Linked DNA regions of Canis lupus familiaris. The protein of the gene in region 2 binds, or shares a complex with, the protein of the main gene of each other region. Links are inferred from orthologs where the notes say so. Each region holds a gene or a part of one and is shown on either strand. Other genes may lie near its edges.

The links.
Region 1: the proteins of BAK1 (region 2) and BNIP5 are in contact, whole or in part, in a crystal structure (PDB 8IGC), measured with the Homo sapiens proteins. The link is inferred for Canis lupus familiaris from reciprocal best matches to the Homo sapiens genes BAK1 and BNIP5. Residues at the interface, in NP_001179.1 of Homo sapiens: Leu78, Ile81, Gly82, Ile85, Tyr89, Glu92, Phe93, Met96, His99, Leu100, Tyr110, Lys113, Ile114, Ser117, Leu118, Ser121, Asn124, Trp125, Gly126, Arg127, Val129, Ala130, Phe134, Ala180, Leu183; in NP_001010903.3 of Homo sapiens: Ile246, Ile247, Gln248, Met249, Ile250, Val251, Leu253, Leu254, Lys255, Arg256, Val257, Gly258, Asp259, Gln260, Trp261, Glu262, Glu264, Gln265, Ser266.
Region 3: the proteins of BAK1 (region 2) and PXT1 are in contact, whole or in part, in a crystal structure (PDB 8GSV), measured with the Homo sapiens proteins. The link is inferred for Canis lupus familiaris from reciprocal best matches to the Homo sapiens genes BAK1 and PXT1. Residues at the interface, in NP_001179.1 of Homo sapiens: Ile81, Gly82, Asp84, Ile85, Asn86, Arg88, Tyr89, Glu92, Phe93, Met96, Leu97, His99, Leu100, Tyr110, Lys113, Ile114, Ser117, Leu118, Glu120, Ser121, Asn124, Trp125, Gly126, Arg127, Val129, Ala130, Phe134, Asn182; in NP_694535.2 of Homo sapiens: Ile78, Ile79, His80, Lys81, Leu82, Ala83, Met84, Gln85, Leu86, Arg87, His88, Ile89, Gly90, Asp91, Asn92, Ile93, Asp94, Arg96, Met97.

Annotation. Positions count from the first base shown.
Region 1 is NC_049233.1:5,612,443-5,621,731, forward strand, and holds part of BNIP5 (protein BNIP5), read right to left. Parts: coding exon 8,793-9,289; intron 7,677-8,792; coding exon 7,557-7,676; intron 5,866-7,556; coding exon 5,801-5,865; intron 5,538-5,800; coding exon 5,297-5,537; intron 4,261-5,296; coding exon 4,129-4,260; intron 3,282-4,128; coding exon 3,220-3,281; intron 2,914-3,219; coding exon 2,673-2,913; intron 1,799-2,672; coding exon 1,667-1,798; intron 794-1,666; coding exon 729-793; intron 1-728.
Region 2 is NC_049233.1:3,126,937-3,136,981, forward strand, and holds BAK1 (bcl-2 homologous antagonist/killer), read right to left. Parts: upstream 6,055-10,045; 5' UTR 6,044-6,054; coding exon 5,974-6,043; intron 4,963-5,973; coding exon 4,827-4,962; intron 4,492-4,826; coding exon of another isoform or gene 4,473-4,491; coding exon 4,329-4,472; intron 3,240-4,328; coding exon 3,059-3,239; intron 2,931-3,058; coding exon 2,826-2,930; 3' UTR 2,816-2,825; downstream 1-2,815. Other genes in the region: gametogenetin-binding protein 1-like, read left to right, coding at 9,332-9,795. UniProt on the Homo sapiens protein: Plays a role in the mitochondrial apoptotic process. Upon arrival of cell death signals, promotes mitochondrial outer membrane (MOM) permeabilization by oligomerizing to form pores within the MOM.
Region 3 is NC_049233.1:5,706,869-5,716,920, forward strand, and holds the start of PXT1 (peroxisomal testis-specific protein 1), read right to left. Parts: upstream 6,096-10,052; 5' UTR 5,959-6,095; intron 5,044-5,958; 5' UTR 5,035-5,043; coding exon 4,866-5,034; intron 1-4,865.

The DNA.
Region 1 (9,289 bases), about 2.5 Mb from region 2:
CTCAGAAGGTGGGGGGTGATCATTCTGGCTTACTGTGTGGATGGTAAAATGATTCTAGGGGCCAGTCCTCAGGCAAAAGGATGCAGGTGCTGGCAGTGGGGAGCTGGGCCAGTGAGCACTGTGATGGTAAGGCGAGGCACTCACAGTGTCCCTATGCTCATGACTCATCTGTGACCTGGGCTCATATCTATTGTTTCATATGTGATCTGTGTTTGTTTCTCCAAGTAGACTGTGAGATTTTCAACAAGAGAACTTTCTGTTATTGGCTCTTTGGCAGGAGAGGCAAAATCTAAAAGCTTGAGACAACTGCTGATCATAAAGATGCTGAAATGTGTGCCAACAGAGAGTGAAAAGAAAGCTAGTAGAGGACAAGATCAATGGGACTGGCAGGCCCAAGGAAAGAGGCTTCAAGGGAGGTGTGAACATGAGTTGAACTTCAAGGGGGATTTGGATCGGGGAGGTCCCGGAGGGCGGGGTGAGCTGCATAGACATTATATTAAGCTAACATTTATCTCATCTGCTATGTGACTGGCATTTTCTATATATGCACTAAACTTTGTCAAGTAGGTATATACCCCCCATTTTGCAAAAGAGAAAACCAAGACTCAGAGAGTTTAAGGGACATGCCCAAGGTCACCTGGATGTAGAGATGGGGATTGAATTCAGGCCTGAGTTGTGGGTTGATGAGGCCTCCGGGGCCAGCCTTGGGGGTACTGAGTAGTCCTTACCTGCTCCCCTAACTGGCCATCCACTTCCTGGAGAAGGTCCGCCAGCCTCTGAATGATCATCTCCTCTACAGAAAATAAAGAACGATTCAGAGGCCATTGACAAGTTCTGCAACAACACACCCTCCCACTACAGACGGTATTTTGTCTCTAAAACACAGTACACAGATGAGTTTTGAAGGGCAAAGAAAAATCTTCTCCAAAACTAGGGCTGGAGCATGAGAGCTTTATTTGAGTTTGTTTATAGGAATTGAAAAGACTTTGGCCAGTCGAGCCTCACCTCAGCTCCATTTTTACAAATGTGGAAACTGAGATCACCCAATGTCTCCTATCCAGGCTATAGAGTAGCATGGTCACGAATGGGAGTTGAGACCAGGAGCAGCTAATTAGAAAGCAGGGAGGGGGAGACGCCACAGCCATGGATGTAACAAGATCGCGTCCACCAGGCGGGGCTGTAAATGGCCACATGCGTTTGTCTGATCCTACCAAGACCCAATGGCAAATATTCTGAATATTTGCAGACCTTTCATCATCAACAGTTGGCAGCTTGAAATCAGCCATGGTGGAGACACTTACACCACGGAAATCTGCAAAAGCTACATATCGGGGCTCCCCCACCACACCCACCCTCATTCTGTTTGCCAGAACACCACTGGTTATGAGACCCAGAGCAAGCCGGGAATTTTATATGAAACATTCGAGCAAACCAGTGGAGCAGGGTGGGTGAATTTACATCCCACAGAAAGACAGGTGTTCTCACCTGCAACTTGGCCCCAGGAGCCCCAGTTGAAAGGCCAAGGCTGCCTCCTCCCCAGCCTGCTAGAGTCTCCTGGGGTGTTTGTCAGTAGCCCTCCCAGACCCTACTCGAAGTCACCCTCTGAGGCCCATGCAAACAGAAACCCCACAGCAGCCGCCCCGGGAGAGAGTAGGGTGGTACTAACTAGATTCGAACACTTCATCTGGCTGTGGTCCCTCCTCTGGCTTATGGCCTCTGGTCTGGGAGGGTGCATCTGAGGGCTTAACAGGTGCCCCTTCGGTGGGCAAGGACTCCCGGAACTCGACGCCGTCCAGATCTGAGGGCAGAAAGGAGATGGTGTGAGCATGTTTTGCACCTGTCTCAAATCCACAAGCATATCCAGGTCCAGGTTCTGACAAGAAGCTGTCCAAAGGCACTGGCCCCAGAGGGGTCCTGCTTCCCTGGGCTCCTCAGGGAGCCCCCAGACCTCCAGCGCCCACCTCAAAGGCATTCACAGAGCCTTCTCTACCCCCTCCAGAAATATTCTTATTTTCTGCCACCAGCCCCCTCTGCCTCCCTCCTCACAATGCAGGAGGAAACAGAGCAGGCCTGTCCACAGATCCCACCAGATGAGCCCACATCCCCTTTGCTCTGTGAGGCTTTGCCAAGTCACTTCCCCTGTGTGAACCTCACTTTCTCCATCTGTCAAATGGAAATACCAAGACTGACTTCACCGGTTATAAGTGGCTTAAGTGAGATAACATGTGGGACAGTAGCATGTAGTGGGCCCTCCATACATGTCAAGGGAATCACTGTATACCTCATGCTTCGGAGGAGTAAAAAAGCAGAGGCCCTGGCCATATCCTACTTCATCACACCCAGGTCTCTGTGGTTTTCTATTAGCTTTCGGGTGAGTCAGATGCACCCAGCTGATGAACCCATGCACTGCTCTCCGACTGCATTTGATTTTAAGTATTTGTGTGTTTGTGGGTGGGGGAAGGGAAGGCTGGCATCGTGGGTGGTGGGTCCAGCTGGCAATCAGCACCCCCTCTCTCGACAGCCCTCCCACACCTCCCCACCTCATTGGAGCAGAGAGCCAGAGAGTGGAATCAAGCTTGAAGCAGAGGTCACACAGCTGGCCTAGCCTGCTCTGAAGGAAGCCCGGGGCCAGAGGCAGCCTCTGTTGCCATGGTGATGCTGGGGCTGCTCACCAAGGCTGCTGGAGGTGGAGGGCTGATGGCCTCCCACACACAGGGGCAGAAAGCTGGGCCTCCTGTGCGGCCGGGACTCTGGGCTGGTGGCACCTGCAGCCCCAGCTCTCTTCTGGTCCTTGGAGCCATGTTTCTTATGTGAAAAGGCTTTTCTGAAGCTGCTCTTTTTCTCATGGGATTTCCTTCTGTAGGGTAGGGACAGGTTTTCTACAGCCACCTCTGGTTCCTGGACTTGAAGCTGCTGTGGGGGAGATGAGGGAAACTGAGTCAGGGCCCCCGACCTTGAGGAGATTGCAAGCAAGCTGGGGAAAGAGACCAGCCCCCCCTGAAACACACAGAGACCCCGTGTAGACCAGAGGGTGCAGGTGCAGCCTGGCCAGCGCGAGTGTGGCCTGAAGCCATGGGGGTCGGGGAAGCTGGCTTCGGGAAGGCGGAAGGCTTGGAGGTGGGCTCTGGAAAGATGGAGAATTGGGGGAGGGGCAGCGAAGTTATTATGGCAGGCAGGGGTGGGGGTGTCCCCAGCAAGGGTTGGGAACGTCGGCCTCACCTTCACTCCCCACTGCTCCTCTGCATCCGGGAGTAGGGCAATGATCTCCTGGATGAATTCTTCTAAAAAAGAACAAAACGGTGGCTTGCACTCGAGGGTAGAGAAAAGCTTATCTATGGTCTGTCCTCACTTCCTAAGGCCCAAGTGGCTCCCTGGGTGAATCTGACCGGTCTCCAGGCTGCTCATGAGCTTGCCCTTGTCCGGTGTCCCAGGCCGGGCCCTGAGGACACCGGTAGATTCCTCAGAAGTGGCCTGAGCAGAGCTGGTGCCCTGGGAATATGTTCATTTCTTCGTTGGTCAGTGAGCGCCTATAGGTGCCACGTTACATGGTGAGCCCCTGCCTCCAGGAGAAGGTGCCTCGAGGCCATTTGGAAAGGCCTGGTCCCCTCGCCCAGCACCGCCCTCCTCTTCTACTTAGAACAGGGGCCTTCTCAATTCCCCTTCAAGGCACATTTTCTGTGAAGAGCAAACAAGCAGGAGGGGTGTGTGGGGGAAGGGGATCTTTAAACCGTCTCCAGACGCACAGAACTGACAGTGATCGTACGACCCCATCCTTGGCCCTGCCGATGGCAAGGAAACAGTAAGCATGCTGGCAGCCGGCCACCTGTTGAACTCCCCCAGAGCCCCTGCCTCTGTCCTTCCCTCTGGACCTCTGCTGAGGCCCTGTCCTCAAGCTGGGCTCCATGGCCACACCAATAACAACAACAAAGGGCAGCTAACATTAATTAGCTCTCGGCAGCTTATTAACTATGCTGAGTGCCCCGGACGCCACACTGCCCCTGCCTGCTGTGCTCGGAGGAAGTCAAGGCCCCGTCACTGTCTCTCTCTGGGTCCGTTTCTCTTCTACATGTAGAAGGGTCGGATCAGATAATTTCCAACAGGCCTCTAAGAAGAGGAGAGGGTACTAACTGAATTCCAAGGCTGTGTTGGTCTGCACGTCCTCTTCTGGTTCCTGACCTCCTGCTTGGGAGGAAAGCTGGAAGGGACTTGGACCCCCACTGTCTGTGGATGCGGCCTCTTGTATGTTATGTTCCTCCAAGCCTGAGAAGCAAGAAGAAAGGGTGGGTGTGTTTCATCAATGTGAAGGTGTTGACTCACATGCAGAAGTTAGCAGAGGTTCCAAAGTTCACTCTGTGGCTAGAATGTGCAAAGGTCTTGATGCAGCAGAGGTGAGCGGTGGGTCAGGGTCAAGGCTTCCGTGCACGGGCCCAGACCTGCCTCCCTTATCCCGCTGTACTTCCTAACAACCAGTTTTCCTGGGCTCTGCCCTCCTCTCCTCCCTCCCCTGATAACCTCATCCCTCCTCCAGCATCTTGGCTTGGAGAAGAAAGGCCTGATTCCGTAGTGTGAATTATCCCAGCAGGGCCAGAAACCCCCTGCATGAGGCCACCTGCCCCTGTGACCTGCAATTCTGCCACTGGGGCTCATATTTGGTGTGAAGCATTGCCCCTCCTTTTTAAAATCTAAATTCCCCCAGCCAGGCCAAGCGGCTGGGCTAGGCTCTTCTTCCCCGCCACCCAGGATGATCCTTTCTCTCTGGCTCAGTTTCCAACACTGGTGGGCCATGTGACCCTGAAACACATTGTTTTACCTCCTCAGGCCTCAGTTCCCTCATCTATAAAATGGGGATAACAATATGGCTATGAACACTGATCGAGTATAGACACGCAGTACGGAAGTATCTTATTTTATAGGTGAGGAGCCTGAGGCAGGCACAGGGATGGCGAATGATGTAGAAAGCGTAGCTCAGAGTTCAGGTGCCCTGCTTCCCAGGCCGTGGTTCCTTCCTGCACATGCTACCCCCTGCCAGGGTAGAGAAGCTGGATGATGGAGAGATGTGAATGGCTAAGGGATCCCTCAACAGTGTCTGCTGTGGGCTTAGCTCGATTGCCTGGGCAGTGAGGTCTCGCGTGTGGAGGTGATCTTTCTCCTCCCACTGCCCTCCCCACACTGCTTGGAGCAGAACAAAAGTCAGAACTGGGATGGCAGCCCTTCAAACGGCCAATTCCAGCCCTGGAGAAGGTTCCAGAACTGGAAGCAGCTGCAGTGTTGCTATGGTGACTCTGAGTCTGCTCACCAGGGCTGCTAGAGGTGGAGGGCTGATGGCCCCCCACACACAGGGGCAGAAAGCTGGGCCTCTTGAGTGGCCGGGACTCTGGGCTGGAGACCTCTCCAGGCCCCGCTCTCTTAGGCTCCTCCGAGCTATGTTTCTTGTGAGAAAAGGCTCTCTTGAAGTTAGACTTTTTCTCTTGGGATTTCTTCCTGACAGCTGGCGCTGGGTTCTGCGACACCAACACCAGCTGAGGAGCTTGAAGCTGCTGTGGGAGAGATGAGGGAAACTGAGTCAGGCCCTGACCTTGAGGAGAGGGAAAGCTCCTCGAGAAGCAACCAAAGAGCAGCCAGGTGCTTCGGGGTGGCCCCAGGTAAGGGAGGTGAGAGAGCCCAGAGCCGGGGAGCACTGAAGCCTGGAAGGGCAGACAGGGTTTGAGCATGGAGGAGGAGGAGGAGAGGGGAGTAGGGACAGGAGGAGGAGGGTTGAGGTCAAGCCGATGGGGGTTTACACAGGCCCTTTGCTCCTTACCTCTTCCTCCCACTGGTCTCCCACTCTTTGGAGAAATTCCACTATCATCTTGATGATTGTATCCTCTGGAAGAAAGTGAATGCACCCAGTTAGTCTTTCCATGTGCATAGAGACCCCTTTCTAATGACTGTCTTGGACTTCTGGGATCAACTTAGTCCTGTATTAAGAGACAGAGCTTTAAAAAAAACGAGAGAGAGAGACAGAGCTCTTAAAACAGGTCCATGGCCCACGGACATGGGGAAAAGCACCGTGTCCCAGGAGCTAATCCTTCTAGAGAGACTCTGGAGAGCCACAGGAAAGGGCAGTAGGCCAAAGCATGCAATTTTAGGCAGGCAATCTCAGGTCAAGCTTCAACCTATACCCCCTATTTCCTTTGGCCTTTACAGATTTGTAAGTACCTGCTTTGGGTTTGGCAAGCTGTATGACCTTGAGTAAATCTCTTAACCTCTCTGGGCCTTCATCTCTCTGTGAAGTGTGAATCGTAATCCCGGTCCCAATTCCCTCAGTTGGCTATCAGGCCATTAAGGAACTGTGCTTGGAAATAATTTAGGAGCCTAATACCAATCTTCCCACCTGCAAAGTTCCAGTGGGGAAAATTGTGGAGGCTCAGCCTAATTAAAGTAGAGAATGGAGAGACTCCAGCAGATGTAACACAGACAGCCTGACAGGTGGACACCTCTAGCACACCAAGTCTTTACGGAGAAACCACAAACAACATAAATGGTTTTCATTGATACCCTCATCAACCGACCCAAAGACGGTATGCTCAGAGTAGCTTCTGCTAGCTGTCACCTGACCGGTTTACATGAAAGAAGGTGTAAACAAGACTCCCCCAGCCCCGGGCTGTCTGCACATTTTGACTCAGTCAACCAGCCAATTTCCTCTCATGTGAAAAAGCCAATTCGAGGGGCACCTGGGTAGCTCAGTGGTTGAGCGTCTGCCTTTGGCTCAGGTCCTGGGATCGAGTGCCACATCAGGCTCCCCATGGGGAGCCTGCTTCTCCCTCTGCCTATGTCTCTGCCTCTCTCTGTGTCTCTCATGAATAGATAAATAAAATCTTAAAAAAACAAAAACAAAACAATTTACGTGTAAAATAAACAGCCTGCAGAATAGCCAACTAGATGCCTTTTAGTTATTGTTTGACAAATGCAGAGATGTTTTATATCTTTTAAAATGTGCCCATTCATTATAGGGAATTAGATTCATAGAGCATTCACTATTGATTTTATTAAGGGCAATAACAGTATTGTGGTTGTGCATGAGACTGTACTCATTTCTTGGAGAGACGTGCTTAAGTATTTAAGGATGAAGGATCATTTTACTGAAAATGGCTCAGCAACAAAATTAAACACACACACACATTTATGAAGCAAATGGTGGCCTACATCAACAATTGTGAATATATGAGTATCTGTAGAACTCTTCCACTCTTCCATATATTTAACAATGTATATACAATCTATACTCTTCTATTCCACACTCCTTCTCTAAATTGAAAAAGACTTTAAAAAGTCTCATGCTCATTAACACATAAGGCAGGAACATTTGCCAGTGGCCGTTCTAATTCCTGAGACTCCCTTCTGTGAAACTCTAAAATAAGTAAATGTGACCAGAAGCCCCAGAAGGAACAAGATCTGTACATGATCTTGAGAGGACCATCCAAGGTCCAAGCAGTCATCCAGAACAATGCATTATAATCATTTGGTATCGGCCACCCCCACTGCAGAGAAAGAGGACACTGTAGATTCTGACTCACTGTCAGTGTTTTTGAGGTCTTCTCCCCACCGGTGACCTGTGGCTTGAGGAGAAATTTCTGCTGCTCCAGGAACCCCATCCTCAATGCACAAGGACTGGGGAAGATCAGAACCTTCCCCACCTGGAAGAAAGATGGAAATAAGTGTATGGGTTGAGGGGAGATCAGGGGGTGTCAGGGACGTTCTTCTGACTTTGCTCACGAACACAATAAAATGACAGAATTTGCAGAGAGACAGACACTGATGTAGCCAGCTCCAGGCTTAACCAAAAACAAAAAATGAGAAACCTGCCAAGGTTTCCATTTCAACCCAGGCATTCCTTCTCCTTATGAAAAACATGGTGAGTTTGGGGTCATCTGGGTAGCTCAGTCAGTTGAGTGTCTGACTCTTGGTTTGGGCTCACGTCATGATTGGAATCAGGTCATGATCTCAGGGTCCTGGGATCATGGGATCGAGCCCTGTGTCAGGCTGCACGCTCAGTGCGAAGTCTGCTTGAGATTCTCTCTCTCTCTCTCTCTTCTTCTGCCCCTCCCTTCACTCATGTATGCTCTCTAAATAAACAAATAAATAAATAAAATCTCAAAAAAAACCCAAAAACCCCATGGTGAGTTTTGAGTGCTCTACCTCCAGGTGCCTATAGTGTATTCAACTCCAGACATAAGAGTCAGAAAAGAAAGGCACCTTGGGGACCAGCTTCCTTGTTTTAGAAATGAGGAATCAAAGGTCCCAGAGAAGGGCCGTAACTTGCCCAAGGTCACAGAGCAAGTTTATTCCTGACACAGCCAAGTGTGGGACTGGCACTGGGCAGCTGGCTCTTTCCACGTCTCTGGCCGCACCCATGGTCCACACAGATGGATCGATGTCTGGGGCAGGGCTCCCCTCCTCACCGCTCTCCCTGCCTTCCCGTTTCTCCCTGGTCTTTGCTCCTTCAACTAGAGTACTTAACAACAACAGCCACCATGTGCGGACCATGGGCCAGCTCCGGGCCACAGCTATCCCAGCGGAGAGCAACTATTACCCCCATTTTATGGATGAAAAGAAAACAGTGGTGGAAATGGGCCTTGACCGCAGGCTTTCTGCCATGGTGCTGTTCTGCCTAGAAGACATTTCACAGTGGAGCTGTGCCTGATGGTCGCCCCACCTTCCACGTCCCTTCTGTTGAGAGGTTTGAAGAGCCCGCTTAGAGGACCATAGCCCTTGAGGGTGGGGCAGGGGGTTACCAGGCACGGTCTGCTCACCCTTGGGTGCTGGGCCCCGGTCAGCCTCCTTGGAGCATGGGGTAGCAGCCAGGTTGGGCAGCCCTGTCTCTTGGCCTTCGGCCTCATGATCTTGGGCCCCCTTGGTTTCTTCAGCAGCATGTTTCTTGTGACTGTGTTTCTTGCGGCTGGCCTTCTTGTCGTGGGCTTTCTTCCTGGGAGCTGTGTCCCCTGGTGCTTCCGGGGTTTCTGCAGACTTGGGGAGGCCTTCTTTCCCCTTTGCCTTCCGGCTGGCCTTGTCTTTGGGCTCCTCAGGGCCTGTCCTCAGAAAGAAGTTTATGATGGTCTTCAGCCACCCCTGCTGGCCCCGCTTCTGGGTCTTGTCCTTCTTGGTGTCCTGCGGAGGCCTCTGGTCACTGGAGAGAAACTTCTTGGTCTCCTCCAGGCTCAGGACACCATGGCCATGAGCTGGGCTCTGGGGACATCTGGTCCCATCACTGGCCGTCTGGTGAAGCACCCTCTTGGAGGGGGGAGTGGAC
Region 2 (10,045 bases):
CAGAATCCATCTGCTCCCCTGCACCCGCAGGACCTCTGCCTTTCTCTGTGCCTCCCAACTTCTCACGTCTCGCTTCCGGCAGCCCCGGAATGCGCTGAGATTTCGGTTTTGGAAACTTCATCCAGGCAGGGCAAAGGGCGGAGTGGTGGGGGTCCGGGTAGACTCAGGCCAAACATTTTGGGGCTCCCCACGCCTTCAGGAGGAAGTTCCAACTCTTCCCTTACAGGGACAGAGAAAGCCACAGCCCCTGCCGCTGCCCGCCCGCCTTCCTTCTAGCGCTAGAAACGCCCTCAAGCGGTTCTCAAAACCCCGCGGGGCCGGCGGGGCAGGTGCACCTGAGGCCCCGCCCACCAGAGGGCACGCTGGCGTGCTTGGGGCGGCAGCGGCCATCTTGGATCCTGGCAGCCCGCCCACCTTCGCGGTCTCCGCCTTCCTGGGGCGGTGGCGCCGCGGCTGCGAGCGGGTGCACGGAGAGGCGAGTCGCCACCCGGCCTCTCTTGAGGCTTGGCGGTCTTGTGCTGGAGACCGACGGCCTCGTCCCCACCTGGCCGGCCTCTACGTAAAACTTCGAGCCAGTATCGAGGGGGCAAGTGCCGGCTCCTGCCCCTTCTACCTGGTGACTCTGGGCAGGTACCTCAGTTTCCTTTATCTGTAAAGTTGGAGTTTAAGCCTCAGCCTCACCTCCCAACCCCTCAGGTCACTGATTCTAATACTTACTGATTGGGCGTGTATGATAAATTCTCAGCACATGGCCTGGCATGGAGTGTGTTCCCTGTAGGTCGTCTAGGAGCTTTTCCTGCAGATTGCAGGGTGCCTTGTAGCCACCACTGTTGGGGGGGGATCTCCACGAGGGAAGTGTGTAGTGGACTTTGGTAAGACCCGAGTCCAAAGGGAGAGGGGACTGCAAGATGCCCTCAAGCAGTGAAGGTGAAGCCCCTAAGCCCTTTAGGACTTGCATGTGACCATTTTGGAAGGGTGTCAGAAACACAGACCGGGATGCCCAGGACTGGAAAGACTTAGTAGGAACATTTGAACGCCCCCGTGCTTGTTATTTTTATCACCCCTCGTTGCCTTCCCATAGGGACTGGGATGCAGCACAAAATTCCTGGAACAAAAAGCCCTGTGTGTGTGTGTGTGTGTGTTTACGTGTGCTAGTTGTGGGGGACATGGGGAATAGGGGACTGAGACACTGTGTCCCAGGGAGAGCCAGGTGTGAGGGAGAAGGGTCTATTGGGCCAGGATGGATAGTGGCCCCGGGGAGCGGCATTAAAATCAGGCCTGGCGGAGGCCTCTAGGAGTCCCCAGACATGCAACTGCCCTACCAGGTCCACAGACAGAGCCCAGCACCCTAATTTCCTAAGGGGTGGGAAACTTGCCTGGGACACAAGAGATGAGGGAGGTGCCTGGGGAGGGACCAAGGCCTTGTAGGGAGCTAGGGCCTGGGAGAATCATACCCAGCCTTCTACAGGTTTGTGGAGGCCTAATAATGAGCTCTAATTCAGTAATAACCCGGGTGAATGCCAGGCATGCCTGGGTTCTCCTAGTCCAGCCTGGTGGAGTGAGGGGTAGCAGGGGATACAGAAATTAGCATATGGAATCAGGGGATTACAGTTTATTTTCAGACACACTCAGAGGGTGGGGGCTGGTCAGCGGGCTCCATCTGCATCCGCTCCCTGCATTTGGCTTAATCATGAACTTCTCTCTCCTTTCCCCCAGACCTGTAGGCTGTGCAAGATAGACAAGGTATTTCCACCCCCACTCACAGAAGGGGCTTAGGCAGGTGAGGAGTGTGAAAAGTGGGGGGTTGGGGGGTCGAGTTCAAGTATTCAGTTTTTCCATCCACACCCCCAGATTACACTGTGCCCAGGCCACAAGGGAGGATCCCAACCCTGGGGTTCCTAGGGACATTAACAGCCCTTTTCTCACTCAGAAACCTCCAGATGAGCTCCTTACCCTCTTTCCCTGACAATAGCAAACCAGTTCTAAACTCTACAGTCTGGGCAAGAAGGGGACCTCAGCACTCCACTTATCCAAGACCCCTCCTTCCTTGTTTGAAGTGATAGGGCCAGGGTGGGCTTCACTTGTAGTGAATAGGTCGGGTTTAAATGGTAATAGGTGAGAGGAAGGAAGAACACTGAGGATCTCAGGAGGCAGACTTAGGGGGTGCTGATGAAGTTGTGACAGCTCTGGTCTGCACCCCCATGCCATCCTCATCCCACCCAGACCCAGAATCCCTGAGAGTCTGCTGCAAAGGCAGTATGAGGTGGGGGCAGTGGGAGAGCAGGGGGGAGAGCTTAGGAAGTGCCAGGACTGGGCTCCAGGCCCAGTAGTCATGCTCTGGCCTTCTAGAACAGCTGAGTCCTACGGAATATAGAGTGGCCTACTAACCCCCCACACCTCAGACATCCTGGCTTAGACAGAGTGGTGGGTATGGTGGGGAGGGTCCTTCCAAGGGCATTATAAAAAAGCTATAACTGTTAAAAATTTGGGGGAAAGTGACTCTCAGCCTCTTGCTTCCCCAAGTTGTCAGTCTCCCCAGTACCCAAAGATAGGGTGGAGAGAGCCCCAGAGAGCTGAGGAAGAAGGATACAGCCTGTCTCTGACAGGATGGGGCCCAGAGAGGGGACCCATTAGCACCATGCAATGTTGGGGCACCCCTGGCAGCCTGACTGACCCTGGGCAGGGACCCTCTCAAACTGGAGTGCACACTTGCTAAAGCTTCTGTAATCTTGAGGAGGGCCCCTGCTGGGGAGGGGGTGAGGGAGAAGGCTTGGCTGAAGTCCAGGCAGAGGTGTCAGCTAGGACCCAAAGGGCCCCTCTGGGAGTCATGATTTGAAGAATCTTCGTACCACAAACTGGCCCAACAGAACCACAGACAGCACTATCAGCACGTTCAGGATGGGGCCGTTTCCCAAGTTCAGGGCTGCCACCTGCCAGGAGAGACAGAGTGGTCACAGTGGGGCTGACAGAAAATATAGGCACTCCAGGGCTGGGGCAGAGCTGGGAGAGAGAGGTGTCCCAGTAGCAGGGAGGAGGTAGCCAGTGCTTGGGCACCTACCCAGCCACCCCTCTGCGCGATCCACCGGGCAATGCAATGATGCAGCATGAAGTCGGCCACGAAGCGGGTCACCTGGCCCAGGAAGCCGGTCAGGCCGCGTTGGTAGACATGCAGGGCCAGGCGGTAGCCAAAGCCCAGGAGAGCCACCACTCGGCCCCAGTTGATGCCGCTCTCAAATAGGCTGCAGACAGAATGGTGATACTGTCAGTGGAGACCCCCGGAGGGCCCGTGGCCTGCTCTTCCTCTCCCACCATCTGGTACCCACCCGCCCTGCTCCCAGCTGGAAAGCAAAATGGCTTAGCTGTAATCAGGGTGGCAGAGGCTGCCCCAGCCTGGCCTGAGTTTGGGAAGAGCCTGCATCTCTGTGAAAGGAGAAAAACTCAGAGGGCAGAGGAGCAGGGCGCTGCTGCTGGATTGTGGCCCCAGTGCCGTGGGGAGCATAGAGGGGCAGAGAGCAGGGAGGGCAGAGCAAGCAGACGGAGGCAGCGGGGAGATTACCTGTGGGTGTTGCTGCTGGCCTGGCAGCCCGAGAGACAGCAGAGAGAGAAGGACAAAGAGGAAGTTAGGATAGGTCCTGGAATCCGAGAGGGGCAGGTGTGGCTTCGAAGGACGGGGCATGATGTTCCAGCTCTGAGCACTAACCCTAAATCTATTGCCTACCCCTACCTTCACCGCAGCGTCAGTCACCTTGAGGCTGACTCCTAACCCAGATCTCACAATAGATGACACCAGTAAGTACAGCCACTGTTCTAAGCCTACTTCCTCTATTTTATAGACACGGTGTCTGAGGGCCAGAGGGTTTCACAAAGCCCGTAAGTGGCAAAGCCGAGATTTGACCCAGGCATGTGGTCAACTACAGCAGACTGCCTCTCAGACACCAGATGGTAGTAAAGGGGAAGTCATTTCCAGGACACAAGCAGCCTGTCTTTGGTAGGGAATATGATTCCAAACTGGAAGGATAGCTGTGTCTCGGCGAGGCTGGGAAGCTCTGGGGACATCCTGATCCTGGGCACCTCTCGAGTCCTGATCTATCCCGTCAAGTCCTCGGTGCCTCAGCTCACAGAAGCTGTGAGCTTATACACTGAAGATGACGAGTCTGGGCCCAGAGAGAGAGAGAGACAGGGGCCCAACACCATGCGTGAGCTAACAGCAGGTACGGGAATGGCACAGGTGTCTCTTGACACTGACAGAGAAGCGTGTCTCTTCCAACCCATGGGCAGGACACCGTGTGAAGGCGACAGCACAGTAGAGAGGCCAGGGCTGGGGCTACCTCGAGGCAATCTTGGTGAAGTACTCATAGGCATTCTCTGCTGTCGGCTGTAGGTGCTGCAGCATGGCCTGGAACTCCGAGTCATAGCGCTGGTTGATGTCGTCCCCAATGATAGCGAGCTGCCGACCCACCTGCCCCATGGTGCTGGAGGAATGGGAGCCAGGTAGGTGAGCACAGGGCAGGCAAGGCTGGGGCCTGGGCTCACGGAGAAGGGGTTCCACCTAAGATGCCTCCGGCCTCGTGGACCCCTCCTTGGAGATTCCTAACCGTGTTCTCAGGCCCAGCCTGGGGTCATGGGGCACACATGCTGCCATGAAGGGCGCAAGGTCCCACATGGAGGTGGAAGCCCAAATGAAAAAGGCAATGATGGCAGAAGGACAGGAACCCCCGGACCCCCACCCAAGGCCTCCCCAGCTCCCCGACCTGCAGGGCATTGACCCCATACGAGCCTCCATCTCCCCGAAGATGTCCCAGAGGGCCCGGGGGGCTGTTGCTCACCTGCTAGGTTCTAGGGGCAAGGTGACCATTTCTGGGTCAGCTGGCACAGCCGCCCCCTCAGCCTCCTGCTCCTGCCGATGGCGGTAAAAAACATAGCTGCGGAAAACCTCCTCGGTGTCCCGGGCTACCTGCTCCTCTAAGGATCAAAGCCAGGAGTCAGGGAGGAAGGGCTGGACCAGGCAGCCCCGTGCTCTGTGGATGGGTCACCCTTCCTGAAGGCCCCAGCCGGCCTCTCCTGTGTCTTCCACGGAGGACAGTGCTAGCTGCTCCAGCCCTTCGTTAACAGCTAGCGATTTCTGTTTGGGATGAGCCTCCCAACAGCCTTGCAAAGTAGGTGAGCACCAGTGTACAGATGGGGAAGATGAGGCCTGCGGTGTTACATACCTGCACGAGGTCACACAGAGCGAGCCACGGAGTAACCAGGGCCTAACCCAGGCATGTGGGATTTTTAGTGTGAGCTTAGTGTGCAATGGTACCTGGCCCTATGGCTCAGAGAGTATGGAAGGCGAAATTTGAAATTGTAGCTTTTGGGCCCAGAAAAGTCACGCAGGGACATAGTGACCGAGCGGAGCCCTGAGCCCGACACCCAGAGAGCAGTCTGTAGTGGTCTGGGGATGGCAGGCTTCCCTGATGGTCCCCTTGGAAGAGGGAAGAAGGGCAGCCATTGTACTTCCTCCCCAAAGTCGTAACACTAACAATTGCTTTCGCCAGTTAGCACGCCTGACAGGGTGATAAGCCTAGGAACTTCCTTCTTTCTCTTACTGTAGGAATAGGAGAGCCACACCCCACTCTTCTCACCTCTCCTCACCCCTCCCTGCTCCTTTTTCCTTAGGATGGTGCTGTGTCCCACCTCACACTCACTCTGGGGGCTCTCCTAGCCCCTGCCCCCCCACGCCCCACCCTGCCCCCAGGCCCAGACTCTTCCCCACTCCCAGGGATTAACCTGGACTGTACTCCAGCTTCTGAGGCCACCCACACCCACCTGCACTGGGTGGGGAGATGCTTTTCTCCTTTATCCCAGGTGAGTGAATAGAGGGCAGGAGAGCCTGCCTATAAGTCCTGCCTGGCCCTGTCCACTTCTGCTCTCACCATCCTCTCCGACAGCCCTGGTGGTTATGGGATGGGTGAGGGGCAGAGAGACCCTTACCAGAAGTAGAAGACGGGGCAGCCTCTCCACACTCCCGCCTGGGAGGCCCTGGGCCTTGCCCGGATGCCATTTCTCAGGTCCCAGTGGAGGACTGGGTCAGCCTGTGGGGATGGGTGAGAAAAAGCAGAGATGGAGACGGGCTGGGGCTGTTGCAAGACATTCCCACAGCCCCACAGCCACAGAGAAAGGAGGAGGGGCCCCCACTCCTAGAAGACCCCATGGCCCTAGCTGTAGCCGCCTCTCATTTCACCACCTTGGGTCCCTGTGGAGTCTGCTGGCAGAATCAGAACTTCCTGAGCATTTCACTAGCAGTCCTTCAAGAGAGGGAGAAAGGCAGGGCAGTCAGGACTCACATCTAGGGACCCGGAGCCTGCAGCCAGGACCCTGGGGAGGGGTGAGAGCAGCAGTGCCCTTGTGGCTCTCAAGTCATAATTCACCTCACTCCTGGGCAAATGAGGGGAGTTTTAGAGGCCGAGGGTTCTTTCTGTTGCTCCTGGGGCCTCTTGCACCCTACCTAGCACATGCTTACCACAGGATTGCCACCTTCTAGCCAATGACCCATGAAGGCTGTGCTTGAAGGGCCCACTTCCCCTTGGCCAGCCAGAGCATGCCTGATTTCCAACTCAGGCCTGTTAGCCACGAACATTTCCTGAGCACCTTCGCCTTACTTACTTCTCCCACTCCTCCAGGGGTGCCAGACACTGAAAATGTACATCCACTCAGCAAGGTAAGCATCAGCAGACCCATTCTACAGGGGGTGAAGTGAGGGACCAAGAAGTTAGGGAGGGGCCCAAGGGAGTCAGGTCGGTAATGGGAACCTCCAGGAGCTCATACCTTCAATTCTAACTTAAGATTGATTTTCCAGTTTGTGGGCCTCAGGGGGTACCCTTTCAAGGCGAGGAGACCTGTGTACAGCCCACCGGTGCTCTCCCCATTCCTGCCTGCAGTGAGCTAAGGAAGCCTTCTCTGCGGCTGCCCCCCGCCCACCCCACAGGTCACCTACCACATACCTGCTCCTGCTCTCCTGTCCCCAGCCCCGTTTTCCTCTTTGCTCAGTGCTGGCCACAGCCCTGATCTGCTCTGTGAACCCTCGGCCAAGGGAGTGTTTCCTGGACGTGAGCTGTTTCACTTTCAATTTGCACCCCTTCATAGCCAACTCCCCCCCCCCCCCCAGGCTGCCTCTGTCAGCCTTTTGGGGAAGTGCTCCTCCTCCCACCCCTGGGGAAGGTGTAGTCCAACCCTGGGCCAAGCACTGCCACCTCCTCCTCCCCTCTTGGAGGACCTGAGAGCACCCTCCCCGCCTACCTCCTGCCTCTCAGGCCTGGGGCCATTTTTGAAAGTGCCCCAAGGCAGGGGTTCTCAGGAAGGGGTGTGGAGGGCTCTCCGCCCCAGCATTTACTGGGGGCAGGGGTAGGGAGAAGGTAGGGCCTCCCCTCCTCCAGCCCTGGGAGCCAGTGCAGATTGCTTGGCACACCCCCACCCCTGCTGCTCCTTCCGGAACAGGATGCCCTTCCCTCTCCCCTGTCCCCAAACAAAAGTGGCACCCCGAGGACACCCCGGCAGGAGGATGCTGACTGCACAACCAACTCCAACTGCCCCTAGCCCAGGGTCTCACTGCTGGGAAGTAGGAGGGGTGTCAGAGCAGCCCCCAGGGCCAGAGGCCTGTGCCATCCTGCCCTCATCCAAAGGCCTGACTTCCTGGTAAGGGGAGTCCAGTGCTCTCCACTTGCTAGGCCTAGATGTTCCCTAGGGGGAGATGCCTGCTTGGGAGGCTCCTGGGGCAGAAAGAAGCATCATGTGAGTTCTCTCCCTGCCCTTGACCTTGGCTCTGACCTCTGATTCCCAACTCCACCTCCAGCCCCCACTGCAAAAGGACCCGGTTCTTTGGTGCCCAGAGCCAGGGCAGGTTCGGGGGTGGGCAGGTGGGGGGGCAAACTGTCTGAGGGGCAGCCAGAGGGAGCCCTGCCTGGATCGGCCCCAGCAGGGGTTGGCTGCCCAGGCAAGCCTCCAGACCTACCCTCCCCCCCACCCCCCCCATCCCCACCCCAACCTGGCTGCCTGCAGACTCCTGGGTCTGGGGCTGCTGAACGCTGCGAGGATGGGCAAGACCCTCCTACCTTACCTGCCCGACTCTAGCCCAGGCCTGGGATGGCTCACAGGGCCGAGGCCAAAGATCCTGAGAGGCCAGCAGCTGTTCCCCGGGGGCTGGGTGCCCAGGCCCAGCTTCCAGGAACAGGCGTCAGGAGAGTCCTGGAGTCTGGACGCAGCCTCAGCCTGTCACGGCGTGGCCCTAGTGCTGCGGTGATCCTAGAGGTGCCGGCTGCTCCGGCTCCGATCAGCTCCCCCTAGAGGAAGCTGCTGTGTGGCCGCCGGATGCGGATGCTGAGCCCGTGGCTTGGGGGTCGGTCTAGGCTCTCACGTGGGGGAGGCGCTCCACCCCCCACACTTGGCCCCGGTCAGGCAGTGTGGCTTCCCCTCTCCCACTCCTGATGCCCAGTCCCGGCCTTTGATCTTCACCCCCTTTCATCAAACAGTACCAATAAAAAAGCCAGGATGGCAGAGTTTCTTAAGCACCACAGTGTGCCTTGCACTTTAGCGAGGGACACTTATCCCTCTGAATCTTTTCAGTAACCCCTGGAAGTAGGTTCTGTCCACTACACCTGTTTTACAGATGAACAAACTGAGACTCAGCGGGTTTAAGGAACTCCCTAGGTCACTAAGCTGGATTTATAATCAAGTCTGTGGATGCCGTGGGGAATAATACCACTAAATTGAGATTCCACGTGCAATTGAGATGTGTACCCAAGGCACCTTGGTGGTCTCCAGAGATTCAAAATCCTGAAGGTGACAGACAGGTAGACAGAGATGAAAACAGGGGTGTCTGGGTACCACCTGGGCACGTGCCAGTGGATGCTGCAAGGAGAGAAGAGAGGAAGGACAGATAGCTGTAGGGACTGGTTCTCAAGGGCAGGGGCAGCCCCGACCAGGGAAGGACAAGCCAGGTAGAGAGGGGTGTGTACAGAGGCCCCAAGAGCCCCTGCCCCCTTCTCCGTCCAGGTACCTCCAGCTTCCTCTACCGGCCCCCCCACCCCCCATGCCTCCTGGAGCCTACCCCAAATCCACTGCCTCATACCTCCTTCCCCTGCCTCATGACTCTTCCCTCTCTGCCCCCAGCTAATCCCCCCTACCATGTCTTCCTCCCAGCCTCCCCATCCCCCCCACCCTCCATCTGACCTTTGCCTTCTAGAACTCCTGGAAGTTTCCAACTGGAGGTTTTAATTTGGAAACTCCTCCTGTTCTTAAGCAGTTGGTGGAGGTGGCTGCTACGGCCCCTCCCTTGGAGTCAGGGTCCCTCAGGATGGAGACCCCAGCTTCAACCCCTCAATCCCGAATTTTGGGCCGCTCCTCCATGTTCCGCTTTTTCCGTAGCCTGGTGGGGAGCAAGGGCAGCCTAAAGAGCTCTGACAAGGGCCTGATGGGGAGTCAGGCATGCCCCTCACAAGAGCAAGATGCCACCCCCCTGATGATAAACTGCCAGGGAGGGGTGGGGAGGAAGGAGCTGAGGCCGCCCACCACACTGTCCTACACGCTCTCTGTGGCTTTGCCACAGCACAATTCCTTGGGGCTAGGGATGGGGGACACAGGGGCCCAGATCCCCACTCCCATGGAGGTCCTGAGAGTGGGGGCCCAGGGTAGAGAGGTGAAACCCATCCTGTCCAGGGGAAGCCAGAAGATGCTGGGCAGCCCATCGGAGAAGAAGGAAAGGGAAAAGAAAGAGAAGGCAGTAGGGGAGGCCTCCGGAGATACAAGGACCTCAGACAAGTGAGGGACTGGGCTATGGGGGGCAGGTAGGGGCCTTGGATGGGGGGACTGGGGCAAGATATGGGGCTGAGATGGGAGGACCCATATTGAGGAGGGTCCAGGAATATAGGTCTTCAGATGGATAGAGGACTGGAGTAAGGCCCTCACCTGGGTGCGGAAGGGACAGATATATCGAGGATAGGAGGGAACCTGAGGGGCTTGGGGACCAGAGATGGGGTGAGTCTTCCCACAAGTCAGAGGTTGTGGGTGG
Region 3 (10,052 bases), about 2.6 Mb from region 2:
GGCACCTGCCTTTGGCCCGGGGCGCGATCCTGGAGACCCGGGATCGAATCCCACATCAGGCTCCCGGTGCATGGAGCCTGCTTCTCTCTGCCTATGTCTCTGCCTCTCTCTCTCTCTCTGTGACTATCATAAATAAATAAAATTTTAAAAAAAAAAAAAGGAAACCAAGTTGGATTCCTTAAAAAAAAAAAAAAGATTATTTATTGTAGCATTCGTGTCAATAGTAAATGATTGGAAACAACCGAAATGTATATCAAGAGTAAACTATTTAAATAAATTATGTTATATTCACACAATGGAATATTATGCCTTGTAAATAACACTGTATTAATGCAGAAAGATCTCCAAATCATATTGTTAAGTGAGAAAACAAAGACAATGTGCTTTGTATGCTACCTTTTCTCTAAAAAGGGAGTATAAAAATCTATACTCACAATTATTCATATTTACATAAAGAACCTCTAGAAGAATGTCCCAAAATCAAGAACAATGGTTGCCTATAATAAGAAGTGCTGAGAGTGGCAACTGAACAGACAGGGAACAAGAATGTAAGACTTTTCACCATATGCCAAAATTTTCATATTCTTTGGTTTTCCACTCATGAAAATGTGTTTTTATAAGCAAACACTTGTATAGCACTTAATGTCTCAGTCATTGTTGCATGCTATTTAAAATTAGTAACTCATTTATTATTGATATGTTAATGTGAATACTCAAATTTTAATTTAAAAAATATCTCAGGGATGCCTGCGTGGCTCAGCAGTTAAGTGTCTGCCTTCAGCTCAGGGCATGATCCTGGAGTCCCGGGATCAAGTTCTGCATCAGGCTCCCTGTGAGGAGCCTGTTTCTTCCTCTGCCTGTGTCTCTGCCTATCTCTCCCTATCTCTCTCTCTCTCTCTTTCTCTCTGCGTCTCTCATGAATACATTTTTAAAAATCTTTAAAAAATAAAAAAATAAAAAATACCTCATGAATGTCATAATTGTACTGCGGTTATGCAGAAAAATCTTTGTTCTTGGGAGATAAATTTAGAGATAGAATTATTTAGAGATGAAGTTAGTATATCTACTTTATCTAACTCTCTTTGTAGCAAAGAAAAACATCTGTACATCCATTCACGAGTATGTGTGAATGTAGAGAGAGATAAAAAGATAAAGTAAATGTGCCACCTCCCCCCCAAAAATGGTAAATCCATGTAAAAGGTATATGACTAACCATAGACTTATTTATGCAACTCTTTTGTAGATTTTAAATTTTCCAAGGTAAACACTGGAAAGGAAAAAATATCTCAGGAAAGTCCTTAAAAGTGAAATAAAACATTTCTATTTAGTTTCTATAAACTCTTTGGACTGGTTTTCAAGGCGCTTAGATCACATCTCAATTCATCCATCCAGCCTTCTTATCCTGTTTGACCAAATCTTACCTTTGAATCACATCTCAAAAATTACTTTCTCAAGATGTATTTTTTGAATCTTCCAAAAGACTGTGTTCTCTTACCACTTTGAATTCCTGTAGTGCTTTTAGTTCTGTTGAGATATAGCATATTCTAAATGGTTATAATCATTGCATGTTTTTATTATATAAAACAAGAGATGATAATGTATATTAGACGCATATATTGATTTTTAAGATTTTATTTATTCATGAGAGATACAGAGAGAGAGGCAGAGACACAGGCAGAGAGAGAAGCAGGGTCCCTGAGGGGAACCTGTTGTGGGTGGGATTCTATCAGGGAACTCTAGTATCAGGCCCTAAACTGAAGGCAGATGCTGAACCACTGAGCCACCTAGGCATCCCTAGATGTGTATAGTGTATACTTACCTACTGTACATACATTGTCTATAACAATAATTATAGGTTATGAGTCACTCCCTAAGAACTTAACAATTGAATGATAAAAGTGTCTTTGATAACTTGGAAGCAAGATTAATTTATATGTGGTGGAAAGGAGTGAGAGGGGCAGTCACTGGAAGGGGAGAGGCTATCAGCTCTCCCTTGGCCAAGCTGCTCCCTCCGCCTGCAACTCCCACTGTCCTTAACTCCTTCAGGTTCTCAGGCCTGGGTTACATCTTGAGCGAAGCCTTCTCTAATCTCTCTGCTAGGTCAAAGACCCATTATAGCACCTGGACCTCTTCTTAGCACTAATCCCATCATATTGAACATTACTATGTTTAATTGACTACTATCTGCCTCCTTTACCACACAGTACGCTCCGGGGTGGAAGGCACTGTTAATGTTTTTGTTCATCACTGTCATCCCAGTATGTAGCATGGCATCTGGAATTCAGTAGGCCCTAGCAATTTTTTTTTTTGAATGAATAAAATAAGAAAATGCGTCCACCTAGAGGAAGAGGGAGTTGATGAGACTTAGGAGAAGCAAAAATGAGCACCCAAGCACTCTCAAAGGAGAAAGAGGCTGAATAACTGGACTAGACTTATACAATCCACTTATCTCATTTATACCTAGACACACACTTACGTCATGCTGCCCTCCCCTACCAGTAATTATTGCACTTTTTATAAGTGGAAAAGCCCTATTTTGTTTTTACTAATTGTTTCCCCAAGAGTTTCTCATTTCCCTTAAATGACTTATCAGGACCTCCCAAGGGGAGGGGATGCCCAGAGGGGATGCCCTGGACTTCCCAAGATCCTCCGCATCCCCTCAACTTTTCCAAGAAAAAGTGGTTAAGTTCCCCTCACAAAAATTGCTTCCTTGGGGACCCCTGGGTGGCTCAGCGGCTTGGCGCTGGCCTTCGGCCCAGGGTGTGATCCTGGGGACTCGGGAGCGAGCCCCATGTTGGGCTCCCTGCAGGGAGCCTGCCTCTCTCTGTGTCTCTCATAAATAAAATCTTTTTTAAATAATTGTTTTCTTTCTCCGAGGAGTTCAACGTTCAAACGTGTCTATTTCCCAAAAGTAACAAGAGAAACAGATGTGGGCTTCACACTGCATAACGACTGGTGATTTCCACTTCCAGTCTGTGTCCAAAAGCCAAAAGAGGGGGAAAGGAGACCTTTCCAGAATCAGCTTCCTCATAGGGGTTTTACGTTGAGCAGTACTTAAGGCGTTTTTTGGTTCTTTTGTTCTCGTTCTTGTTAAGGTTCCCAGCGAGACAGCTTCCGCAGGCCCTCGGAGCGACCTCCCGCGACCCCACCAGCCCCTGCAAATGGCGGTGGCCCAGCCGCGCTCTCCCGCGGCGCTGCGAGCCAGGTCACGTGGACCCGCTGTGGCCAATGAGGGGCGCGCACCGCGCTCCCGGCGGCCCGCGCGCTCTCCGGGCCCCTGGCGGCGAGCGGGAGACGTGGGCTGCGTGTCCGCAGGGCTCCGGCCGGCGCCTCCCCTCACCCTGCGGCTCGGCGCTCCTGACGCCGTCCGGACACCTCCGCGGCCCTCTCACAGCGCCGCCCTCAGTCTGCGCGCACCTACATGCCCCCCAAAGGCAAAGGGAGAAGCGCGCGGCAGCCTCCTGGGCCGGGAAGCGGGTGGGAAAGAAGCGGGAGGCTCGTGCCGGATCCCAGCCCCTGGACGCTCGCCGCTGGCCCGCCCGGGGGGCCCAGCGGGTCGGCGCCGCCCTCGGCCCGGGGCGCGATCCTGGAGACCCGGATCGAGTCCCGCGTCGGGCTCCCTGCGAGGAGCCTGCTTCTCCCTCTGCCTGTGTCTCTGCCTCTCTCTCTCTCTCTCTCTCTCATGAATTAGTAAATAAAATCTTAAAAAAAAAAAAAAAAAAAAAGACCAGTCCCGAGTAAGGCTTTACATACAGAGCGAAAACAAACACGTCGACTGGTTGTTGGCGGTCACCCCGTACATCAAGCGGAGGGGCTTTGGTTTTCACCCTGCTTCTGCGTTTGAGGCGAGACTAATTAGGAAAGCATTTGGACCAGCCTCCCATGGGGCACCTCGGAAGGGGCCCGAGGAGGAATCTGTGAGGATCCAATGGTTTCGCTGAGTGTGAAAACGTACCAGGAAAAGTTTACAACATTAGTTCCAGAACAGTGATTGCGATTGCGCAGCCTTATGAATATGCTGAAAACCACTGGATTCTGCCCTTTAAGAGGTTAAACTTTATGGTGTACGGGGTTACATCTCAAACATGTTCTAGAAGGTATTCACAGGTGACAGTCTCAGGCTTTAGGCAATCATTGTTGACACCTGCACATACCAAAATTCAGTATTTCAGTCAATTCGGGTCTTTCTAGAAGATAGCTACCCTATTTGATATGGTGGCAAGAGACTATCAGGATGCCTGAAATTGCCACTTTCTCAGTGGCTTATACTTCTTTTTAAAATGGAGAATAGTCTGAAATTAGCTTTGATTATTCCTCTCAGGTGTTTAGCATATTCTTAATCTAAAAGTCTAAGAAAAAAAAACATAAATTTAACACCTGATCCTAATATCCTTCACAACATAAGGCTTTAATTTTCCAACATTCAGGGACATTTAGTAAGCGTGCAAATTTTTGTAAAACAATAATTCAAGCTTATCTTTCCTTCATGTTCTTTCCTATATTGGCAAAATCAAAGAGGAACCTAAAGTGTATTTTCCCTACTTAACATGGACATTGTCAGGTCAAGTTAAAGACGAATTTGTATTAAAAGACAAATATGATCTATTTTAGTTAATTTGGGGTCATCTGAATGAGTTGTCACATCAACAATTCAGAGCTAATAGACACTAAGAGATTTAGTATCATGAGGCAAAGTCAGCTTTAGATTTTTACCACCGAAGAACATTGATGAATAGATTTACCACTATCTTCTTACAGTTAATGTTTAAATAATCTATTTAAGGCCCAATTTTATGTCCTCAATACCAAGCAAAATATGTGCTAGATAGAATATTTATCTTAGCTTAACACAAATAATATCTTACCTGGGTTCCTTGACATGGCTGAAACTGGCTGGGAGCTGACAAGTCGGGTCATGTACTCCTTCTGAAAACTGTATTTCACCCACAGGGATTTGCAACAATTTGTTACTTTGGGAGAGGGATTCAGAAGTTCTTTAGGTTCACAAACAATGGTATCATGTTTTTTCTTCATGTTTTTTCCCTGTTGAAAAATATATCTTCAGAGAATTTCCCCCATCAGTATATATTCAGTATGTTTGATGAATATTGGTGTTCTCACAATACAAGCAGCCTTTATTCTACATATCTAAGGGTTATGGTTTAGAGTGGAAAATGGAACAGGGTAATTAAGGTCTTTTTTCAACTTAGATAAACATCTTTAAGACCTATGCTGTTGGTCTTTAGATCTGCAACACCACCCCACATCCTCATCTCCAAGCAGTTTTTCTTCAATAGCCACGTTCTACCAACAGAGCAGTCTAAATAAGTATGCATAGAAAAAGGCAGACGTATTAACATCACCAAAAAGAAAATAGATTAAAATCATAGAGATGGGGAGGGTTGGAGATGAAATACATTTTTGTCCTACTTCCTTGTGTATGTATGATTTTGTATTATCTCTTTATGTCTCCACATACACAAAGTCCATCTCTACAAACACTAATGAAGACTATTCTCCTGTCCCACCTTTTTCTAATACTGTAGCACCAACCCAATACATTGAAGAATTGAACTGAGACTTTTCATTGTTTACCAGTGCCTTTAATTCTCTTGACTTAAAGGTTGGCCACAGAGTTTCACTTTCTAGTTTACCTTCTAAATCTAAGCAGTTACTGAAAGGGAAGGAATGGTTAAGAGCAGTCAGACAATAAAGAACAACAAAAAAAAGTAACAGGAGAAAACTTCAGGAGTCTTAGATCAGTGCTACCCAATACAAATTTGTGACTCAGATATGTAATTTTAAGGTTTCTAGCAGCTACACTAAGCAAGTAAAAAGAATCATGTAAAAGTAATTTTAATGATATATTTTATTTACCCAAATATATCCCAAAATAAATCCAGATATTATCATTCTAATAAGTAATCAGTATAAAAAATTATTAATGAAATATCTTACATTCTTGTTAATGTACGTCTTCAAAATCCAGTATGTCTTTTACACTTACAATACATCTCAATTTGGACTCAGCCACATTTCCGGTACTCAGTAGCTACACGTGGCTAGTGGCTGCATTGCAGCTTTAGACAAAGAAACAAGAACTAAAAAGAAATGACTGAGAGAAAAGTAATAAGCAGTTATCTTGCAAACCAAGAGGGGGTGGGAATCAGCAAGTAGAATTCTGACTCATTATTTTTCAAATATACTACATTTTCCAATGCAGAATGCTACATGAATATTTTGATTTTTATAATTTGAGCCAGATTAGGGAAAGGGGAGCTGTGGGTTGAAGGGTTGTGAGTGCCTGGGCATTTTTGATTTTTGGTACCTTGGGCAGCTTGATAGTTGTTTTGTTTTCTTTTTTAAATCCCTGTGACTTCTTTATTTTATCACTGAAAATTTGTGCTTCTTAATCCCCTTCACCTATTTTAACAGCTTGACATTTTAACTATATGCATCAGGCAACCTTCTGATCCTAATTTGATTTCTCAAGTAAACTTTACATTGCAAAAAAGGACATGCTCTCTAGGTAATGCATCACAGCCAAATTAGCCCTGAATAGAATTATTAAATATTAAATATTAGTTTACTAATATTAAGTATTAGTAAATAGTCAAAGTTGACAGTCAAGATACAGTTACAGAGTGAGGTTCTTCTCTTTTTTTAAGATTTTATTTATTTATTTGAGAGAGAGAGAGAGCATGAGAGGGGAGAGGCAACCGGAGAAGGAGAAGCAGGCTCCCCACTGAGAAGAGAGCCTTATGCCAGGCTCAGCTTGATCCCAGAACCCACCAGGATCACAACCTGAGCCAAAGGCAGATGCTCAACTGCTTAACCGACTGAGCCACTCAGGCACCCCCAGAATGAGGTTCCTATCTGAAAGAGCCAACTGATAGCCTCCCATAAGCCCATTGTCATCTTATACTATGTACTCATATGACATTGCTAGATAACAGAATAAAATATCTAACCATGGTCTTTTATTTTTTTAATTTTTTTTATTGGAGTTCAATTTGCCAACATATAGCATAACACCCAGTGCTCATCCCGCCAAGTGCCCCCCTCAGTGCCCATCACCCAGTCACCCCAACCCCCCGCCCACCTCCCCTTCCACTACCCCTTGTTCATTTCCCAGAGTTAGGTGTCTCTCATGTTTTGTCACCCTCACTGATATTTTCACTCATTTTCTCTCCTTTCCCTTTATTCCCTTTCACTAATTTTTATATTCCCCAAATGAATGAGACCATATAATGTTTAAAATAAACAATTGAGAATGTTAGAATTGGTTTTTCCCAAATAGGTTGTTTTATAATTTTTCCCAAACTTTTTGGGAAACTTTTTGGGAATTTTGCAGGATATTAAGAGGTATTTATTGAAAAAAAATCATTGCTAATTATATTTTTCATCTAAAATTTATTTTTAGACATATGTAAGAAAAGCACTATGCTGTTATATATAGTTGTTTGTATAATTATATAATTGCCTTTAGGAAACGGTGTGTGTACCTGAAAACAGCAGGAAATCCCAGGTTTCATGAAAGCATTATAGTGGATATGCACATGGAAGCAAGGCAACTACTGAGCTGATGATGTATGTTGTCTATTTAATAATCTTTGGTTTATGCTTGTCTTCTTTCAATATATATTTATGATATTTTTCACTTAATAAATTATGTCATCGGGATCCCTGGGTGGCGCAGCGGTTTAGCGCCTGCCTTTGGCCCGGGGCACGATCCTGGAGACCCGGGATCGAATCCCACGTCAGGCTCCCGGGATGGAGCCTGCTTCTCCCTCTGCCTGTGTCTCTGCTTCTCTCTCTCTCTCTGTCTATCATAAATAAATCTTTTAAAAATAAATAAATAAATAAATAAATTATGTCACCTACTCTGGAAGTTGTTCTGATATAAAGTTTATATATGAACAAAGTTCTTATCATTTCTTGCAATAACTAATTCATGTATGCATTTACATTTTACTGTCTTGTGTGCTAGACTTAATAATGGTCCCCCCAAAGATGTTCACATCCTAATTGGATGTGTGGATATTTTACCTTATGTGGCAAAATGAGAAATAGAAAACTTATACACTATGCTCATCTGAATGGATATTACTATCAGTACATTATCATCTTAAAAGCGTTCGTGTAAAATAAGTTTGGAGATGGACAAGAGTCCATTTGATAGTGTTTCTATAATAATAACTAGACAATCACTGTAACTAAGATTGTTAAACTCTAAATAACTTATTGGTGGTAGCAACTGTAAATCCAGCTACTTTTTTAAAAGTAATCTCTACACCCAACATGGGGCTTGATTGAACTCACAATTCCAAGATCAAGAGTCACATGTTCTATGGACTGAGCCAGCCTGGTGCCCCTAGCTAAAAATCTTTATAATGAGTAATATATGTTGATCAACAATGAAATATATATATTTAGCCCTACTAAATGCTAGGGCTACCCACTGGGGATATAGCAGTCATCAAGACAGAAATACTCCCTTCCCTCATGGAGGTAACAATCTAGCAGGGGAGGCAGATATATACACTTAATTAGAATCATGGTAGGTGATATGAAAATATAGGGAGTGGACTAACCTAGTCTGGGTCGTCAGACAGGACTCATCTAGGAATGATGTTTAAGCTATGATCTAAAAGATGACTTGGAATTGGCCAAGAGGGAAGAGGAGAGAGGGAAAAAGAAAGTCTCAGAGAGCTAGAGTACCACATGCAAAAGCCCAAAGGCAGTAAAGACTTCATGGGACTTGAAGAACTAAAAATAAAAACAGTGGAGCCTTTCAATTCAAGATAGCTGAGAACTTCCCCATACCACTTTTCTTAAAAATAACAAGGAGGAAAAAGAGAAAACAGATTTCATCTTTATTGAACTGGTAGTCACCCCAAACCACAATACACGAAAATGAAAAATGGATCGAGGATGGTGAAGCACTTAGCAGACTCAAGGAAGGTCAAGCTGAAGTGGTTAGAGGAGAAACCAAGGAGAAGCAAGGCAGGTCACCCTGAGGAACCCTAGAAAAGACTCACAAACTGTAAGTAGGTAAAGTGCAGGAAGGAAGCTAGAGTGAAAAATGGGAGAAGTGTAATGCAGAAAAGGGAGATTTGTTTAAAAATCTGTTTAATAAGCAGACAGATCCTCACATCCCCATTCTACCTGATAATATCAGGCTACTGCTTTTACTTTCACAGGAGACAGGAAATGTCACCTCTGGAGAAAGTAAACCAGATGAGTTCTAGATGTGGCAGCATGAGGCATAGATCAGAGAGTGAGATATCTCACTGAAAAAAGAAGAAATAAGGGGTACCTGGGTGGTGCCTGCTTCTCCCTCTGCCTATGTCTCTGCCTGTGTCTCTGCCTTTTCTCTGTCTCTCATGAATAAATAAATAAAATCTTAAAAAAAAAAAGAGGAATTAAGTCTGAAACTGAAAATAAGACACCCAGTCCGCTTCTCCTGCTTGTAGAACTTTGCAGCCAAGTTCTACTCTCTAGCAAAAAATAAAAGGTAAAAACTTTATTCTCAGGAAAAACTGAGCCATGTCAGAAAAAAAGCCAAAGACACTGACATCTGGGGCTCCCCAAAGGAAAACTCTTCAATTGCCACGACTCAAACACACATTTGGGGCCTCTGATCAGCTTTTAGGACTTCACTCCTAAAATATGAACAGATAAAAATCACCATATACCAGAGGGAACCCTTCAACATGAAAAAGTAAAAAACCTCCAACATGTAAGAATCAGGGAGAGAAAAGGAATCACAAGAAACAGAGACAATGCAGGGAGCATATACATACTTCAAAGAAATTAAGAGTATCATCAGAAAAATATTGTATCTGTAAAACAAGAACAGGATACTAAAAGAAGAAATAGTCTAAGAGCAAGGAAGACCAGTTGAAAATTACAAATACTAAAACTATTTAAAATTCAGTAAAAAATTATATATTGAAAGATAAATCCTCTGAAGTAGAATGAACTTGGAAACTGACACAGGTCAGAAAAAGTCATGAGGACATTCTAAAAAATAACTTGCTGATCTTTTT